Neodiprion lecontei: one gene and its partner. The main gene of each other region encodes a partner of the protein of the gene in region 2 in a complex. Links are inferred from orthologs where the notes say so. Each region holds a gene or a part of one and is shown on either strand. Other genes may lie near its edges. The genes, in order: negative elongation factor E and negative elongation factor B.

Region 1 (4,511 bases), about 3.5 Mb from region 2:
ATCTACAGTAAAAACTGCAAGTGTTGAATCAGCTCTGTCACCACCGATTATCGAAAATCTTGAACTGGCCAAGGCTTCCGCACCACCGAATATTTCCGAACCTAATACAGTATCCAGCTTGAACACTGACCAAGAAGAGATTCGGATTCAAGGCCAATCCTCTCTCAGAGACGAGAGCAAATGTGAAAAACGTAAGTGTCCGAGATCGAGGTCGTCCTCCCCGACGATAGACGGAAAAAAAGCTGTGAGGCAGACAGCTTCTCCAGTGAAATCGCTACCGCCGTTGATCTCGGTGACACCTGACACACCCGATCCAGTTCCTAGCCCAGTACCAGAAGTCCAGGCACAGCCGCAGCGCGCAACTGTGTCTTACACTCAAAGCATAGACGAGGAGGTCTCTCTGAGGCAGCAGGTTGCCGGAGTCACACAGTTCGTGGCGTTCCCAACATCCCAAATTCCAGCAAACTTCTTCTCCCTAGCATCCCCGATCGACTCAAGGTATGAGTCTGAACCGAGTATAATGGACATGACCCAGCAGCTACTGAGGGCTCTTAGATTGGCTGGTACCAGAGCAATGAGGCATTTCGTTGGCTATGTCGCCTCCAGAGTAAGCACTGAAGACCGTGGCGAAAAGATCAAGGAAATTGAACTTGCGATATGCGCGCTGCTGCTATTGATAGCTGGCCTCCTCATTTTATGTTTTGGGTCACCGAGAACCGTGACGCATCATCATCATTGGGATTACTTCAACCCTCCGCAATGAGGCTGAGATCATCAGTGCACGAATTTATGAAGAAATCTATCAGAGCACATGAACATTTAAAATGTGACAAAAACGGCTTCGTATATATACGCCACACGTATCCCTCGAAACAGATTAATGCACTATTATTTTGATATAATGATGATAGTGGATTTGTACGCAACCCTATAGTTTGATTTATCAAATTATTATTGTTTATTAATTATATTGTTGATGGTTACCTACGTTTTAATAAATCTGTAAATTATTTACACTTTAGGCAAACTTAACAATCTCCTTTTCCGTAAATATCCAAGTAGACTTGACGATATTTAGCTTTGCTATTTAAAAATTTACCTTCGTTTCTCTAGAGTACCTGTACACCACAAGTCCAGGTATCAGCTCCACTCAATTTTCACAGGTAAAACGCACAATTATAAAAGTCCTATTACAACTCCCATCAAGCTTCTTAGTCCATTTATCCAAAGAGATCTTCATCGTAAACCTTTAAATCTCGTCTGTCCTTATGCGAACTTTTTTGGGAGTAGCTAGCTGCTACTGATGACCACATCGAACTCGATGTCGTGTCGTTAATAGGATCTATCACAGGCTGCCTTCGCGCTAAAGACACTTTCAGCTGTATCGACGATACCATGCTGCCATCCATTTCACTGATGGCTCTTTCCGCTACCTCAGCTTTGTCAAAGGTTATGAATCCTCGGCTAAAATAATAAGAATTCAAAATATAATATATATTTGTATTTGCCAGATACCTATTACCTAAAAAATCTAGAACCCCCTGAGAATTTAGTTACAAAAAATGTAAACACAAAACTAAAAATGATTGTATCGAATCCAGATTTCCGACCACAAGCATTCACATTAAAACTTGTCAATTTTATAAAAAGAAAGGTACATAAAGTTTAAAATTTAACTTTTAAGCTTGGAAATGTAACCACTTTCAAAATTATCCAAGATATTTATGCTATCCATCAAATTAAGGTGAATATTCGTATTAAAAATGGTATTGCTTACTTTTTCTCTGTTTCCATAGAAATATTTACAATCGGTCCAAACGTTTGGAAGTGTTTCTTCAGAAAATCTTCTGATATTTTATGTCCGCAAACAAATATCGTGTTACCAGCACGAGGTTTGGCTTCGGTCCTCGTACCTAATTGTTTGTCAGGCAGCCCTCTTTCCTCGTGGTCTCGAGCACTGACAAAACTATCATATAGGTCTTTTACTCTTGGTCTCGACGCCTCGGTATCGTCTTCCTCTGGTTGCGTCGCCGAAAATGGTTGATAAGAACAAATAGTTTTTTCTGTACTATTAAGTTTCCTTTCCAATCCTCTCGGCCTCTTAAATGACTGCTCCGGACGCTTTTGCGTCTTCGTAATGGCAGGGATGATTCCTGACTTGATTAATTTTTTAGCAACTTCCCGAGCATCCCTGGCTTCTGTAGGCCTCTTTGGTAACTGAGGTATGCGCTCCGGCTCCGGTTTAGGTGTCTTCAGAGCTTGCAAGGCTTTTTTCTTGATAAAGAAAGCAGACAGGGTTAGAGTTTAAGATAATTATATGAATTAAGATATCAAAACTAATTTCTCGCATAAGAAGTAAAAGATACATTGGGTAGATAGTTTTCCAGAAATATATTCAACTCGCGAATGATATAATTAAGATAGGTACAGACTGCAAGAACTGACTTCCTTGACGTAAGTTTTGAGGTTGGAAAAGACGACACGGACCGCGTCAAAAGCGGTAAGTTTAGAGTTAGGTTAAGTAACTTCGATGTCTAAGAGCTAATTGATATTAAGCCGTGAGAACGAAAAGTCGCAAGTGAAGTTTTCATGAATATAAATTAGGTACTGCGTACGGACTAGCAAAGCGAGGGAAAAATTACCTTCCGTTTGAGTTTGTTGTATTTAGCCTGCAGCATTAATTCCTCTTCAGTTAAATTCGACGGAAAGTGTAAGTACACCATTTTGTCATATCACTATACGCTAACCCTTGGTATAAACGGAATAAAAATAACACATAAATAGATGGAAATATAACAAGTTTTCGCGCAAAACGTCAACACACATAACCTTCGGACACCCTGGAATCAACAAAACGACGCGCCGCTAACACTGACCTCTATACAACTATACTAACGTGTCCCTCTCATTTGATAGCGCTGCCTGGGAAGGTGTGAGTTTTAGAAATTAATTTTCGAGACACGCCGGACGGTAATTGCAGATCGATTACCGACTGGTATCCTTCTGTGCAAACTCCCCAAAAGTGGTGGATAATACAGAGTATACTTACCATAGTGAATAGCTTGCAACTAGTACTCGGCCGGTAACTGATCCTAAGTCCATTTGAAGGCGTGTTAACCATCAATATATCAATACGAATCGAATTGTAATAATATTTCATTCTATTGAAAAACGATTCTTAATAAAACGGTTAAAATGTTCGACTCACAATTATTGTATCTGGCTAAATGAACAAAACTTAACTACCCCGATGACAGTTGCTTTGAAATTTTAATTGAAAAAGGTCGTAAATATTATCACTGTTGACCTGCAATTTCTAGCGATAGAATTTGCTACAAAATAAAACTACTCGATTTTTGGGGAACTAGATGCAGCATACATTAACGATACAAAAAGTAAAAATAGATAATTCAGAAAATTCATGACGGGCCGATTCGGCTAACGCGATAACGTTGCTTTATGGCAGACAAGAGGGATTTAGGGGATTATAAAACAATAGATTAAGTAATCAGACAAATTATTTCCTTTAGCGAATATTAATCCGTATATTTGAACCTTGCGCAATTTATAATGAGAATTTCTGACGATATTTTGACATGACATTTCAAGATACAACGATAAAAGATTAAAATTTTAACAACCAATAAAATATTTCACAATAACGCATCTAATGTGTATGAAAACGATGTATGATATAACACAGTATAATGTATCTTAATAAGACAAAACACTAAATACCACAGCAAATTCTATTATTATCAATAAACAAAACAAACAAAACTCAGTTGAGCGACTCGATACAATAAAAAAAGTTTAAAGCTAAACAACGAAATTCACAAAAGCAAGAGAAAGGCGATAGTTAACATAAGACAAAGAAAATAAATAACAGAAAAAGATCGTAGAACACTAGGCAAGATAAATAATAAGAGTAAGGCATATTCGAAACAAGAAATTAAAGAGAATTAAAAAATGCTCTAATTGCCTGCGACCAAAAGTAAAAAAAAAAAAAAGAAAAACTGTTTGTTCTTCACCAGATAGTAACTTATTTCTGGAATTTTTTCAAATAGCAATCACAGTCTTTTTTAATTCTCCGGTTTGATTAACGTAATGAAAGAAAAGAATGTCTTCAACACGTCTCGCATCGTTTGAACGGCCGTGACAGTGCAAAAAGAATAGTACAAGTAACAATAACAAATAAAGAAAATTAAAATACCATAAATTACATAAATTAAAACAGTCACAGAACGAAAGTAAGGTAAAGTACAGATAATCTAAACATTTCGGTACGCTAGTTGCGAAAATCATTCGTAATATCCTTAAAAAAAAAGACGATATTATAAGTAATATTAAAACTAACTTAGCAACCCCGCATTGGAAACTCTCTTAGAAAATATTAGTGTTCCCTGTGATATCCGAAGTGATATTACTGCGGCAATATTAAATGTACAGAAACCTTCCATTGATGAAGACCTTATTTTTCTATTCAAGTGAGATGCGTAATCCATAAAAAG
Region 2 (6,934 bases):
CAAATCTATCCTCAGTCGATAGATATTTACACGTGGAAAATTGCGTTTCGTTGCTTGCTACAATTTTGAGATATGCTTATTAGATAAGAATTTCATTCGGCGGATGTTTGCAGGAGAGAGCGGCACAAAATGTTTCCTGCAAGTGATCTTTTCGTTACTAAAGTAGCAGTGATATTTTACTTGTGTATGTAACGTAATATCATCACTGAGGTACAATTTGTTCTTTAATATACTGTAATAAACATTCGTTTCGATTTAAAATCGCTTAATTGTGACAACTATCGATAGATTAGTTCAACTCCTCGCATATGATAAATTTTCTCACAAATTATTTAATACTCAGTACAAAATATATTGCGTCATTTGATGACAGAGCCATGTAATTCGATTAAACGTTTCACATCACATTACAATGGATTAAAAAATTTTTAAAAATTATGGAGTCATTTTACCATGGGAATAATTGGACTTTATGTCCTTGTTACATAATGTACTATTCTTACTTATAAGAATTATTTACAGTAGCTATTAATGACTTTTTATCTTTGGACACGCACGCACGTGTTCATCCACGTACATCGTAGAGATTTAGTTATTATTTACTACGGGTTGCATGGCAGTGGCTGTTAATAGTGAAAACTACATAAAGTTAGTTCTACAATTTTTCCTTATTACCTATATAGGATGTGAAACTTTGCCAAATGGCAAATTCGTTGCAGTGAATACAAGTATACCTAAATATGCAGTTTTAAGGCATTTAGAGAGACATACATTTCCATTTTCCCTTTGATGTTTTATTTACGATTAATCTGCCCTCAGTAGAAATTATTTGCATCCACATACCTAATTGCAATTATAATGTACATGACAACTGATATGTAGAGGATAAACGCTCTGAATTTGGTTGCAATTTAGGTAATATTTTTAACGTACTGTAAAGCAACCTCGATTTAGTCAAAGTTGGAAATGTTGGTAATCAAACAAGCATGTCATGATATTCTTCACAGCGCTTACAGATTTCCGTGGACATGATTGATACAGAGTAACTCTCCATTTCTACGTTAAAAATATTATAATGAAACTAATATTGACAAATCCAATTTTAGTAGCGGAAAGAAGAAAATAAATTGAAAATATAGGTATGTAACATGACTTGATACAGTTAGGGAGTGCAAAAACTTCAGTAACATTAATTGGAATAGGAAATATGTACAATATTTCTGTTCGATTTAGTCGCACGTTTGGTCGTAAAAAGTAACGTTATATCGAAAATAAATTTGCACCTGATAACATTGGGTTTGCAGCTTATAATTTTAGCGTATCAAGGGTTGAGCCCAATATTTGCAGTCCGATGTTAATAATTTCGGATTATCGAAGAACCATTGTGACAACTATGATTTAACTGAATAGACAATTGGTATACATTGAAATTACCTCGAAACCCTTTCTTCTTTATTCCATCGTAATGACGTTGAAATATAAGACATGGGGCAGACAAATTTTTGAATGAATCGAATATTTTTGTGAACGTTCAACTGTTTTATTTTCTGTTATGTTCATCGCATATAAGTGTAAATTGCGAAATGTAGGTGATAACTATTCTCAACACAACTTGATGCACGCAATGAAAATTGTGAAATAAAATTGTTTTCTAATTATTTTGATAACCCACGTTATTTCTGACAGTTGATGATACATTTGTGATCATATTCAATTTTCAGTGGGGGAAAAGAGGGATTCCGTGATTAAAGGCAAAGGGTGATACGCTAAACAGTTTCATTTTGGCCTTAAATCATACGGATACGCAAGGTGACGTACCATATCATGGGTCAGACATGGTACCATTAAAAAAATATGTACGATGTATTTGTACACGCTACAAGTGTTGTTTCCACATTAGTGATATCCTTAAAGGAAGTCATTGGAAGTAAATAATAAAAATGCCTATCATCTATTGAAAACACATCTGAATCAAGGTGCTTCTTAATACATTCTATTCTGATATTGAATTGCGATACATTCTAATTTGTGTATAATGATAAAACTCTAAATACATCGCATACCCCGTAAAATCCTATTGTCGATGTAAAATAGTTAACGAGGCCCAGGTGTAGGGACAACATCTAGTGGTGAATCAGGGCATTCAAGTGTATCCATAGAAGTTGACGATATCAAAAGATCTTCTGTTGATTGGCTGCCAATTTTTTCTCGGAGAGATTGATAGAGACTATGCACAGCTTCGTTGTGCTGTAAATTATAATAGTTTTATAAATAAGTGACATTGACGTTAACGATGAAACTCCAGTAACGTGAGACCTACCTGGCTATTGGGCTGCAAGGCTTTCATCAGGGAATGTAATCGTGCCGGAGGAAGTTTGGGATGAATGTACCATAAAAGTTTCAAGAGGTGTCGCGTAACATTGTCCCTTGTTAATCCTGCCAGGAAGAATTCGTCGAATATGACGGTGCAAAATGATTCACCGGAAAACTCATCAGCCATATTTAAGATCAGCAGAGATACCTTTGCCAGGAGCAGATTGATTATTTCGTTGTAACAGTCAGGTGCAACATATTCTCGACACTTGTCAACTCACCAGAGTGTGTAAAAATGGATCCTCAAAAGCGCGATGCGCCTGGCAATTTGGTAGCGTTGCCAAGACCCGCATTAAGCCTCTCGCATCACCTCGAGCTCTTCCGCTACTCCCACTTCCACCTCCGCCAACGTATAAAGCGTGATACATGGATAAAACAGCTGCAACTCCAGAAAGTTGAGCGTAAGCTTGACATGCATCTGGAGGTGGTCCAGAGTGCTCAATAATAGCGATAGCACTTTCCCTTTCATCTGGTGGGAGCTTTCCATTTAATTGTCTTATCTGATCATCTACCTATTTTGAAAGGAGTTAATTTGTTACGGCAGTTTGGTAATACTAAGGTTTCAGTTGCAAAATTAATATAGAGTCAAGGAAAATCGTATATCAAGTATCAGACTAACCATGAGAGACATAAGTGCTGGCAGAAACTTCGTCACAACTTGACTGTCAAGTTTCGGCTCCTTAAAATCTTGGGAGTCGATCATTTGCCAGGCTGACAAGCCCAGGGCCAGCATTCTCAGAAGTAGAACAAGGACAGCGTTATCCCGTGGCAGAGCTTCCCCGTTAATTAGATGAAGAGCTATTTTTATTGCGCTACTAGCTAGAAAATTCACGGCGTATGGGTCACACAGTGTCATACTGAGATCCCCAAGTACTTGCTCCTGGCCTCTCTGTGCAAAAAAAATGATCCATTTTTATTGGTCGTTGCTTGAAATTATAGTTTCTTGCTATCGTACCTTGATGCTATCAAGAAATCCTTGTAGTTCTCGAGACCTTTTCACATCCACGTTTTTCTCCCTGATGCAAGCATCCAAGCACCAAGTAAACTTGTGGCATGGATCTACAGATATTATATCTTGAACCTAGAGACCAATCATCAGTTGTTTCATTAATTTGAAGAGAAATTGATACAATGATATTTTTGATTCAAACCTCTAGATCATGCAGTGCCATCAACAACTCAGCCCGAAGAGTACAGTAATGGATATTCTTAGTTCGTAAAAAAAGAGTCCTGAGAAATTGGAGTACCATGTCGTAAAGTTTCACGCTGTGACCTATCATGTGTGCCAGCTTCTGTACCACTTCTCCTTGTCTCCTCACCTTCGAATTAGACCAAGATTTGTTCAAGTCAACTTGGGGAATGTTAGGAAGCAAGTTCGAACTGAATAGCTGATAATAAACGTATTGGTCCGAATTAAACACAATCAGAACTAACCTTGGGCGATGGTGAAAAAAATAAGGCATTCAGGTTCCGATGATCGAACAAAACTTGTTCCTTTTCAATGATGTAGCGACTGAAAAGAGGCGATACCTCATCTCCGAAAAGACTTTGATTGTCCTTCCAGATCTGTCGTTTCACCTCCGTGTCAGCGTCATTGTAAAGTTCCTTTTCCCTAACCAGTACTCGTAGGTATTTGTCATCGATATGAGGGGTATTTCTTAAAATACACATAACGACTGGCCTGAGCGCGGCAACTCTAACGGCAGGAAAGCTCTTGGCCAACAGATCCTTAAGCCTACGGTCGCTTCCCCCCTTTTCCCCTCGCTCAGCCCCAATCTCGGCTATCCGCTTCACAAGTTTTTCTCTAAGCTCTTCTAATACCGAGGCGTGAAAGTCCAGCCTTCTGACGCCGTGGAGGTCCAATAGCGGTAACATTGGACGTAACGAAGGCAATAGAATACCATTTTCTAACTGGAATCTTCGGATTAGTAAGTATACTCATGCCAAGATTGTAATCGCTTGATTTAACCAGTCAACAATAGCGCCGAGTATTTACCTGGAACTCCTCAATGGCTTTCAGGGGATCGGTGCAACTGGTCAGAGCATCTCTGAGAAACACTTGGCCTGGAACTCCGAGATCCTCTAATCCCGTACCCTCCGTACTTTTGGTCGCACTCATTTTCACAGCCCACAAATATACGGTGTTTCCATCAAGGGACAGCGGTTCTGTATTCAAACCGACTTAACCTAACCTATCCTAACCTAAATAAATACAGAACTGTTCAAAGCTGAGCGTTGAACCACGTTTGACGGTTGTACATTGGCGGCTGGCAGGACAACGACAATTGTTTACAACAGTAGAATTATGAATGACTAGTCTTTCTTCTTTCCAAGATTGTTGTGCCGTCTTCCTGTTGAATATAAAATTCGTATCAATACCGAAAAATTAGAAATCGGTATTACCGGGTATTTTACTGAAAGTATCGCAGTTTTATATACATATGTTACGGAAATGAATGGCCTATAAGGCGTCTAGCATTCACCAACAAATAAGCAACTCAATAGACATGGAAATTATTTATCTGATCCGACGCACTGCGACGCACTATAGTTGACTATAGTCTAGTCGGTCGTCAACGGTCTAGCTATATTTATATGTATACAAGGATATCATACTATACCTCTACAATTGTCAGTCAAATTCAAACTTGTGACGCTAAATTTAAAAGCCGCGACACTTTTTATGATTGTTTGTAGCGTTGCTGGTAATCGTGTAAAAAATGATATGCTAAAAAGATGAATCAGCTCGATTGCGCGCCCATTTATAGTAAATTTTGACCGCGTATTTTTGATCTCGCTCCTGTCTTTGATTCTCCTAGTATATTTGGCAGTAATGCAACGTGATGGCCGCAAGTGTCGCGCGCGTCAGGTTGCAACAACGGGGTACTAAGCGAAAATAAATTCGTTTTTTTTCTAACTTTAAACAGGTTGAACAAGTACGATACAACAATGTCACGCTGAATTGATATACGTAGAAACGCGAGTTACTCAATTAGCATGTTCGCCGTTCCCGATGTCTTATCTGTGTAAAATTTATACCAATTCAAAAGTGCATTGGACGCAAAAACCGATCGGTCGAGCGATCGTTCTTTCTGCTGCTGCTGCTGCTGCTGCTGCTGCTGGCTGCTGTTGTGGGGTGGAATTCCGTTTACTGGGGTGGTGGCACCCGTCTGCCTTCCTCGACAGGTTATGTTTCCGACTTTCATCGGGATTTTAGGTGAGCCCAATATATCCGAAGCCAACTTCAGTTTAGCATCGCCGCGTACCAACCGACAGGATAACCAAAAATCGGACGCATTTTACCGGAATCAATTAGTGTTATCCAGTCGAGAATAAACACAGAACTTGCATTTCAAAACGACTGAGCGCGAAATGAAATCCGCACATTTCTAATGTTCACTTATTTTGTTTTCCTTTTTTTTTTTTTTTTGTTCTACCTTCAAAACGAGAAAGAATCTTCCAGTGACAGATGTGATGATAAGTGAATCGTGCCTGTGTCAATCGTAGTAGTTTGAACAGCGTTTACCAAACTGTAACTAGAATCAATGATGTGTTCTACTTTCTACTGGATGTGCCGCTAGATATGTGTCAGTTTTCCAATCATACCTGGTCGACTCAACGTTTTACAATTTCCTGAAACCTCCAGAGTTGAATAACCAATCTTGTGTTATTTAAAAACTTGCTGCAAATTTTTTACTCGCTTGTTTCTGTCTCCAGACATTCAATCGTGGTGGGAGGTGCCAAGTATCGCACATTTCTGCTCATTGTTTAGGGCTGCCTTCAATCTGCTGGACTTTGACATCGAGGTATCTAGTTCAATGCAAAAGTCGTGTATCGAATTAGCTAAATCAAATAGAATTTATAGAATTTTACTATAATTGTTTCTTGAGGCAGGATTTCCTGTTTGGTTAAACTCAATTTCTATCATCATAATCGTTCTGTCTAATTCTGTTCTTTGAAATGATTCATTAATAGAAAATGGAAATATTTGCACTTATTTTTCTTCCAGGATTTGGAAGAAGCTCTTCTCACAGACGGCGGTACAGAAGGCCGGCTATTGCAAGAACTAATTGTCAGATTACTTGAAGGCTGTCTACCAAATGACACTCGCAATGACATCTCTACTTTTAATTATCAGATGTTCCTCCGTAGACTCTTTAGAAAAAAGTGTCAAGTGAGTGTCTAGCTTCCAAAGTAGATTAGAGTATGTACATTAAAATTTGATGTCTGAAAGACCAATTCCTCATTTCTGATATGAACTACACCATCTAAATCAGTCTTGTGAACAGTACTCCGATTGATAGTACAATAATATATTCAACGAGTAAATAAAGTAACTAGTACCAAAAAAGTGAGAGCCTGACTGTGCTACTTTTGAATTTACTCGTTTCATAAGCTTTATCAATTTTATCCAGGGTGCTAGACAATTACTGTCAATGTAATTGAAAATTTGATGTACACTTTCTCTTCAAAATATTTTGGAGTCTACAGGTTATACAACTGAACAGAATTTATGAGCTATCTTTCATTACAGGAATATGGAAGAGATAATCCTTTCAAT

Evidence for each region.
Region 1: negative elongation factor B (region 2) and negative elongation factor E share a complex: the UniProt entries of both Drosophila melanogaster proteins name them as parts of the NELF complex. The link is inferred for Neodiprion lecontei from reciprocal best matches to the Drosophila melanogaster genes NELF-B and Nelf-E.

The regions. Positions count from the first base shown.
Region 1 is NC_060261.1:4,102,812-4,107,322, forward strand, and holds negative elongation factor E, read right to left. Parts: upstream 2,894-4,511; 5' UTR 2,724-2,893; coding exon 2,643-2,723; intron 2,275-2,642; coding exon 1,778-2,274; intron 1,465-1,777; coding exon 1,221-1,464; 3' UTR 764-1,220; downstream 1-763. Other genes in the region: uncharacterized protein LOC107223896, read left to right, coding at 1-763. UniProt on the Drosophila melanogaster protein: Essential component of the NELF complex, a complex that negatively regulates the elongation of transcription by RNA polymerase II by RNA polymerase II. The NELF complex, which acts via an association with the DSIF complex, causes transcriptional pausing.
Region 2 is NC_060261.1:555,876-562,809, forward strand, and holds negative elongation factor B, read right to left. Parts: upstream 5,175-6,934; 5' UTR 4,995-5,174; intron 4,944-4,994; exon of another isoform or gene 4,725-4,943; 5' UTR 4,493-4,724; coding exon 4,370-4,492; intron 4,292-4,369; exon of another isoform or gene 4,285-4,291; coding exon 3,808-4,284; intron 3,693-3,807; coding exon 3,525-3,692; intron 3,455-3,524; coding exon 3,329-3,454; intron 3,263-3,328; coding exon 2,993-3,262; intron 2,886-2,992; coding exon 2,595-2,885; intron 2,522-2,594; coding exon 2,321-2,521; intron 2,248-2,320; coding exon 2,095-2,247; 3' UTR 677-2,094; downstream 1-676. Other genes in the region: PHD finger protein rhinoceros, read left to right, coding at 5,563-5,590, 6,091-6,179, 6,383-6,547, 6,908-6,934. UniProt on the Drosophila melanogaster protein: Essential component of the NELF complex, a complex that negatively regulates the elongation of transcription by RNA polymerase II.